2 linked regions of the Neurospora crassa OR74A genome follow. The protein of the gene in region 1 binds, or shares a complex with, the protein of each later gene. Links are inferred from orthologs where the notes say so. Each region holds a gene or a part of one and is shown in the gene's direction. Other genes may lie near its edges.

The links.
Region 2: the proteins of tim54 (region 1) and tim9 are in contact, whole or in part, in a cryo-EM structure (PDB 6LO8), measured with the Saccharomyces cerevisiae proteins. The link is inferred for Neurospora crassa OR74A from reciprocal best matches to the Saccharomyces cerevisiae genes TIM54 and TIM9. Residues at the interface, in NP_012481.3 of Saccharomyces cerevisiae: Glu76, Met78, Glu79, Val80, Lys82; in NP_010894.1 of Saccharomyces cerevisiae: Lys65, Glu68, Arg69, Gln72, Arg73.

What each region holds. Positions count from the first base shown.
Region 1 is NC_026504.1:4,486,984-4,491,198, forward strand, and holds tim54 (mitochondrial import inner membrane translocase subunit tim-54), read left to right. Parts: upstream 1-1,432; 5' UTR 1,433-1,697; coding exon 1,698-1,763; intron 1,764-1,831; coding exon 1,832-3,172; 3' UTR 3,173-3,467; downstream 3,468-4,215. Other genes in the region: NCU07294 (hypothetical protein), read right to left, coding at 3,517-4,215. UniProt on the Saccharomyces cerevisiae protein: Essential component of the TIM22 complex, a complex that mediates the import and insertion of multi-pass transmembrane proteins into the mitochondrial inner membrane.
Region 2 is NC_026503.1:2,973,820-2,977,010, forward strand, and holds tim9 (mitochondrial import inner membrane translocase subunit tim-9), read left to right. Parts: upstream 1-1,491; 5' UTR 1,492-1,663; coding exon 1,664-1,671; intron 1,672-1,793; coding exon 1,794-1,863; intron 1,864-2,276; coding exon 2,277-2,465; 3' UTR 2,466-2,645; downstream 2,646-3,191. UniProt on the Saccharomyces cerevisiae protein: Mitochondrial intermembrane chaperone that participates in the import and insertion of multi-pass transmembrane proteins into the mitochondrial inner membrane.

The sequences.
Region 1 (4,215 bases):
GGGGGCAGGTGGTTGAGTGGCACCGTCCGAAGTGGAAGTGTCCCGCTGGAACGTGCAGTCGATAGGCGCAGTGTGGAAGTGGAAGCAAAGTGGAAGCGTGACCGACGTGAGCCTCTCCAGCCTACCTACAGGAAGGAGTCTGACAGGAGAGCACTGGCTGGAGGCGATTCAGGGCGCTGTAATTCGGAGAACCTAGGTACGGACGAATCAGACAAACGGAAGGGAAGCAGGTGGGGCAGGGTCCCTGCGGTATCAGTATAAATAAAGACCTAGACGTATAGAGGTGACATGGAACCTAACAGATCCCATCTATAAGTGACCAAGACATAGACTGTGATGATATGAGACAGCCACGGGCGCATTCAAAGGACACCTTGAATAACAACAGACAACTAGGAGCATCTTTACGTTTCCGTTTTCTGTTGCCACAGGAAGCTGGCCTCGATGTGAATCTAGTACACGATGCCCAGGAATAAGGAGGTCGTAGAAAGAGGGGTTCCATGTTTGGGATGACATGCCCAGGTCCAGTGGTGAGCTCCAGGCCGAAACAGGACCACCTAACTATGGGGTGCCCTGGTCAACCTGAAAACCCCTGACTCCAACCTCATCGTCAGACGTCAACTCGTTGCTGTCTGTTCCGCACTGCTGCCATCTTCTCGTGCCTCACAAGCACACTATAGGTAAACCACCAGTCCCCCGAGTGTTGAAGCTCGACGCAACGGCATTGGACCTCGAGAGCATCGAGACTCTGGTCCGGGAATTTGTTACTGGCTGGGAGCGGGCACTCCCGGGTCTGCAATTGATCGAAGGGGCATCCTGGTGGAGCTGAAGGTGGGGTGAACACGCTTAGCGCCATCGACACCGCATCTTCCCTGGGTGCTCCTGTTCTTTCAGGGGTTGCAGCGTCTCGGAACAGTTGTGCCCATTGATCACGCAAGAGGTCATCATGATCGCTGACAGCACATGAAGCCCAAGTCGCCACGACCGAGTATACAATTGTCTACTGTAGAGACATCCTCTACGATGCTTCAGCAGAGAATCCAGGGAAAGTAAGAACACGGAACAGGTAGCCCGACTTATACAAGCTCAGGTACCCTTTGCAGACGCTTTTAGAACCTATAGTTCTGGCTCAGAAAGATGGAACCTGCTTCAATAGGGCTGACTAAATTCCCCAACTTATGAGAGTAAAGTCCAGACATGAGACTATCTTGGAACTCTCAAGATAAAATCTTGGGCCGTTCCAAGTCTGCGTGGTCTGCATTTATACACTAAAAGTTAATTCAAGTGTCACTGGCATGACGTGCGGTTGACCTTCGCATATGGCCCGTGCACAACCACTAAACGCGATGAAAGATGCAGGTGGGTGCCGCCGCGGGAATGGCTTATCGGCTTATCGCGATAAGAAAGTGTGTCCGGGAATTTTGGCAGTCGGGTGCTCCGCTGCACCGGCCCCAAGGTCCTCAACGGAGCTCCTACGGAGTCGCTGTCCGTAGTCCGTACAATCGTTACGGAATCCCGTCGTCCTCTTCAAGTTGTCTTCCAACTGTGACGCCCCCCGCGAGAACCACCCCCCGATCTCTCCCTACGATACCCCTCGCGCCGTCACAGTAAGCTGCATGCGCCCGTAATTGCGCAAACTCCATCACCACACGACATACATCAGAGTAATAGCATCAGCCGGCGCAACACTTTATACCATGGCCGACCCAGTACCCCCGGCGTCCACTGCGCCGCCTGCCGCTCCGGCTGCAACTACGGCTACAGTATGTTACACTTTGGCTCCTTCGCACTTCATCGTATTTCTGAATATTATGGCTCACATCACACCTAGCCTCCTCCTCCTCCTCCTCCTCCTCCTCCGAAAGCCCTGAGGCCGCAGAACCAGGCACTTCGCATGCTCGGTCTCCCTAACCTGCCCAACAAGCTCCCCTCCCGAAATTGGATGATCTTCTGGACCGTCTCGGCCTCCATCACAGCTGCAATTATTTACGACCGCCGCGAGAAGAGGCGAAACATTGCGAAATGGAGACACGCCGTCGAGCACCTGGCTGCCGAACCCATCACCGATAAACTCGGTCTTGAACAGCCGCGCAAGCTGACCATCTACCTCTCCGCCCCGCCCGGCGACGGCCTGCGCGTCGCTCAGGATCACTACACAGAATACGTCAAGCCTGTTCTGGCCGCCAGTGGCTTGGACTGGGAGTTTGTGCAGGGCCGCCGGGAAGGCGACGTGCGCGCCGTAGTCGCAGAAAGATTGCGCAAGGTGCGCCGTGGCTGGGAGAACAAAGAGGAGCAGGACCCCAACCGCGAGCCTACCAAGGACGAGTTGATAGAGATCTACCGCCAGCAGCGCGGCATCAAGGACTACGAAGGTGTTCGCGGCGATGTTGTCATTGGCCGTCACACATGGAAGGAGTACCTCCGGGGCCTGCACGAGGGTTGGTTAGGGCCGCTGGTCGCGCCCGCTGAGCCTGCGCCACTCCCTCCCACACCCGCACCCGCTGCGGCCGAGGGTAGCACATCTACAGAAGACAAGCCCGCGGAGGAGAAGAAGGAGGAGGAAGCCCCGAAGCCCAAGCGCCCACCCCAACCCAAGCCATACAACACGACCTCCGATTACTCGTCCGAGACCCTTCATCCCCTGACGCCACAGGAACTCACCCCTGCGGTCCCTATCCGTGAGCCTCACATTCTCGGCTTCCTCAACACCCCTACACGCATGGTCCGATTCTTCAACCGCCGCTCACTCGCCGACGACATCGGCCGCGAAGTCGCCGCTGTGTGCCTGGCAACCCACCGCGAGTTCCAGCAACAAACCAACCCAGACGCGCCTTCTACCGATTCGGTGCAGTATGAGCAGGCGAAGGAGCTCGAGTGGGAGGAGCAGGACTGGCCCAAGAAGGTATGGAAAGAGGATGAGGCCGATGCCGATAAGGAAGTGACGGAAAAGATCCATATCAAGCCCGTGGTTATGGACCCAAGACTTGCGCACCGCATGAGGAGGTTTGCCTTGACGCCCGAGGACGAGGATCGGGTGAGCAAGATTAAAGTGCCCGAGGAGGAGGTCGAGGGCTGGATCAAGGGTTCATTGAGGAAGGCCTGTCATTGGGGCTATGACAAGGCCTTCAACAAGAAGAAGCTTGTCCCTTTGGAGGATAAGGATGTTGAATAAGCGAGGTGGTACTGTTGATACAGGAAACTTGTGTCCAACTGGCATCTTATCCTCATGTACAAACAAAAGATATAAAGGAGGCGCATGTTACGATCACAGTGTATGAATAAGCAATGGCCAAGAAAAGCTGGATGTGGACTAGTTGTTGGGTATATTAAAAGGCTAGGTGTTAGCGGTTGCTAATCAGATGAGATTGGCGATATCTCTGATCTCTGCAGCCCTCTTCCACACATCATATAATGAGACGCCTCTTCCAGTAAACTCGTGAATCAAGTAGTTCAACCAAGTCAACTCCTACCTTGTCTGGGGCCCCGTCTTCCATTCTTCATTCCCCTTTACAATGCTCAGTCATCATCCTCATCCGACGATGCATATGACACAAGTCCACCAAGGGGCTTTTTCGCGGGCGCCGTAACTGTGGTCGTAACTGTAGCCGTAACCTTGCCTGGCTCAGAAACCACCGTGTTCTTCTCCTCCTCCTTCTTCTTTTTCCCTTCCTCTCCTCCACTCCTAGCCCTCTTCACCACCCCGGGCACCAACCTTTTCCCCTCTCCCATCCTCCTCCTCTTCCTCCCTGCACCTCCCGCTCCACTCAAAAACATCAACTCCTCCTCGCCCAACCCATCATCATCCCCCCCATCCTCTCCATCCCCTCCCTCTTGCTCCTCACCACCACCATCACCACCACCACCACCTCTTTGCCGCTGCTGCAACTCCCTAAACTTCTGCAACCCCCCTTCCTCCTCTCTTCGTCTCTCTTCCTCCTCCCTCCTCTTCCTCTCCGCCACCCCCTCAAGAAACTCAATCTCGTCGTCGTCCAAAGCGCGGAACTGGTTCTTGATCTTGTTGGCTTCTTCAAAGGCCGCTTGCTTGGCTGCCTTGTTGGCTTGGAGGACTTCGTAAAGGGATTTTGGTTGTTGTTGTTCAGTGGCTGCTGGGCCACCGCCGCCGCCGATGGTGGGCATGGAAGAAGAAGAAGAAGAAGCAGAAGAGCGTTTCTTGGCTTCGAGTTCGGCTTGTACGGTGAGCCATTCTTGGGACTT
Region 2 (3,191 bases), on another chromosome or scaffold:
TGCAGCTTGACGACAAGACGACATTTGGTCGGCACAGAGGAGATGGTGAGACAAGCGGAACATGCTCATGTGGTCAAGGATGAGTTTCCCCCTCACTTCGCCAAAGACCAGGCATGCACATGTCATGCGCCACACTTGACAAGAGATGATAAAATGGCTTCGCTTCGCCGCCAGGTTCCGCAGTCGCGTTCACCGTGCGAAGAATTCCCACAGCTTCAGCAACCTTTTGTAGGTATCCTCAGACCCCAACTTTGAGCTTCGTAGCGTAGATATGGGCGAGTTCAGGCTCGGCTCATTGTACATATTCTCACCGCTTGATGAAATTTACCTGAGCCGCCTAGAAACATATCAGATTGCGATTCACCCCTTACCATAGCCGACGGACCGAGCTTTTGCCGCGACAAGGCAGCTCCACCTAGAGCCTCCAAGCCAAGTTGTGCGTTTGGGATGGTGGATGTATCAAAACCATAACGATTTGGGGGGGGGGGGGGGGGGGGGGGGCGGGACACATACAAGGCCACCTCAAATTGCCACAACGGCTTGAAAGTAGAAAAGCATGTTGTACCCATCAACTGCGGGTCTTGTTTCATCTTTCATATGCGGGCAAGACATATTCCTCCCTGAACACGAGATCCTTCCCGGGTGGACGTCATAGGCTGACTCTGGCTGAGGCTGCATGTAAGCCCACGATATGTACTGCTGTTGGTGTTTTTGGATTTCCGGGAACACACCAGTGCTTATAAGCACTTAAAAGGCGATGAACACTACTGCAGTAATGAAGAAAGAAGACGTCCGCACCACATCTCACTAACCGCAAATAACCGTCAATGGGAGAAATGGCTCACATCCCAGCACCTTTTTTTTTTTTTTTTTTTTTTCTTCTCACCACAAAGCCATGGCCAAAGTAACGAAGCCTTTCGGTAGTGACACAAGACACGGAGAGATAAAACAGCCCATTGGACATCGGTCCCTACGAGCCAGCGGACATGCCGTCGTTGTACAATACCATACTTTGCACACAGTCAGTCCTTCCCTTCACTTCCCCGCCCTGCTGAATGGTGGGTGATACAGGGACGAATTGCCGGAAACCTAATGGGGAGCAAGACAAAGGCAAAACCTCAGATAGCAGTACCAGTGAGGCTCTTCTATCTACCTATACATAGTAAATGTCTGTTTTTAGTAGTGATCCCTCCAGTTGGCGCCGTCTCCGAGAGGTTGTTGCCCTGTGTTGGATCGTAAGGAGTGATGTCATTCCTCACCGTTGGCGTCGGCTATGGTTGCAGTGAAGACTGTTGGTTGAGCTGCCTGCAGTTGTGCAGTGCAGTGGTAGTGTACAATGTTAAGAGCGAACGTTAGTAGCGCACAGACCTTCTTTGCTACTGTATCCCCCGGTCTTGCCAAGCCTTGCTGCCAAGCGCCAAGCATCGAGCTCTCTGCCGGGCGGTGAATTTTTAGAACTGCAGCTTCAATCCATCCGACTCGTTTCTGCCCGTCGCGCGCAGCGGGCCCTAGGTAGGTACGACATCGACATCTATCCATCCATCCATCCATCCGTTATCGATTCCACCTCTGCCAACCGACCAGGACCTTACATCCATACTACAACTCGAATTTCCTCAAGAGTTCGGAATCATCACCGAACCACAACACCAAATCGACAACAATGGATGGGTAAGCAAGAGAGCAAGGGAAACAACAGTCACCTTGTGTTTTTTTTTGTTTTTTTTTACGACAAGGAGAACAAGACTGGACACCCAAAACTAACGTCATCGTCAAACTTTCCATCAAAACAGACTTACAGCCGCCGAGAGCCGCGAGCTCGACCAGCGCCTTCAGAAGCGCCAGGTCAAGGAGTTTATGAGTGTACGTCGTATATACACACTTTCTTTCTTCGTTACACATTTGCGCCACCAATATTCTTCCATCTTCGAGTCGTCGCTACATCTTAGATCCAAACATAGCTACCGTCATCACCAATCTTTTATCCCCCGGTCTTCCACCATCCATCCCCCAACTATCCCATCTACTCGCACTTACTCGCAACCTGTTTCCCACCCCTCCTCCTCCTCCTCCTTCCTTTCCACCTATTTCCGAACTGGCATACCTCAATTTCCCCATCCATCCATTCTCCCCCTCCAACACCACCCCTCTCCACGCCTCTGCTAGCTCTCCCATCTATCTATCCCAAAACCAACCCACCAAACCTCTTACCAACATTCCCCCTCCCTTCCCTCTCTCTCTTCTTTCTTCTAACAAACAAACGAACAAACAAACAGGTCTTCGGTAACCTCGTAGACAACTGCTTCACCGCCTGCGTCGACGATTTCACCTCCAAGGCCCTTTCCGGCCGCGAGTCGGGCTGCATCAGCCGCTGCGTGCTCAAGTCCATGTCCACCCAGACGCGCCTGGGCGAGCGCTTTGGCGAGCTCAACGCTGCCATGACTGCTGAGATGCAGAGGCGGTAAAATAAAAAAAAACTACACTATACACTGTACTACAAGAAGGAAAGGAGAAAGGGGAAGGAAGGAAGGAAGGAAGGAAGGAAGGAAGGAAGGAAGGAAGGAAGAAGGGTTGAGGGGAAAAAAAAAAAAAAGACAAATGTGTATAAATAGGTTCAGTTCGGGAAATAAATTGGGTTGACGACGATGAGGCAGGTTGCGCATACATGCATGCGTACCATACACACATACATACATACCGTAAAGGATATTGCGAGTGAAGGTGTGCTGGTTGGGTTGCAGAATGAGGTGGTGAGGAATACCGGTTTTCCGTTGTGGATGAATATGGAAAGAAGAAGAAGAAGAAGAAGAAGAAGAAGAAGAAGAAGAAGAAGAAGGGGGGGGAGAGGGGGAAACGGATGGATGGTATTGAATACCTAGGATGGATGGTGTCGAGACGAGTCCTACTTAGTTTCTGCCAGCTTTGGCTAGAGGTAGGGAGGAAAGTTGAAGGTGCTTTTTGTCGACATCTACGGATATGACAATTTTCACAAAAAGCCTTTGAGGGGACAACGGAGGTAGCCGTTGTTGTTGTTGTTGTTGTTGTTGTACCTCTGGTAGTCGTGAAGCGTGATACCTACGGGGAGAGATCTGGTACGTGATGTGAGGTAACGAAAAGAGACTGAAGCGAAGATATTGGCACTAAAAAACGGATTTATACAAAAGTCAAGATGTTGGAATCTGGCTGTGTGC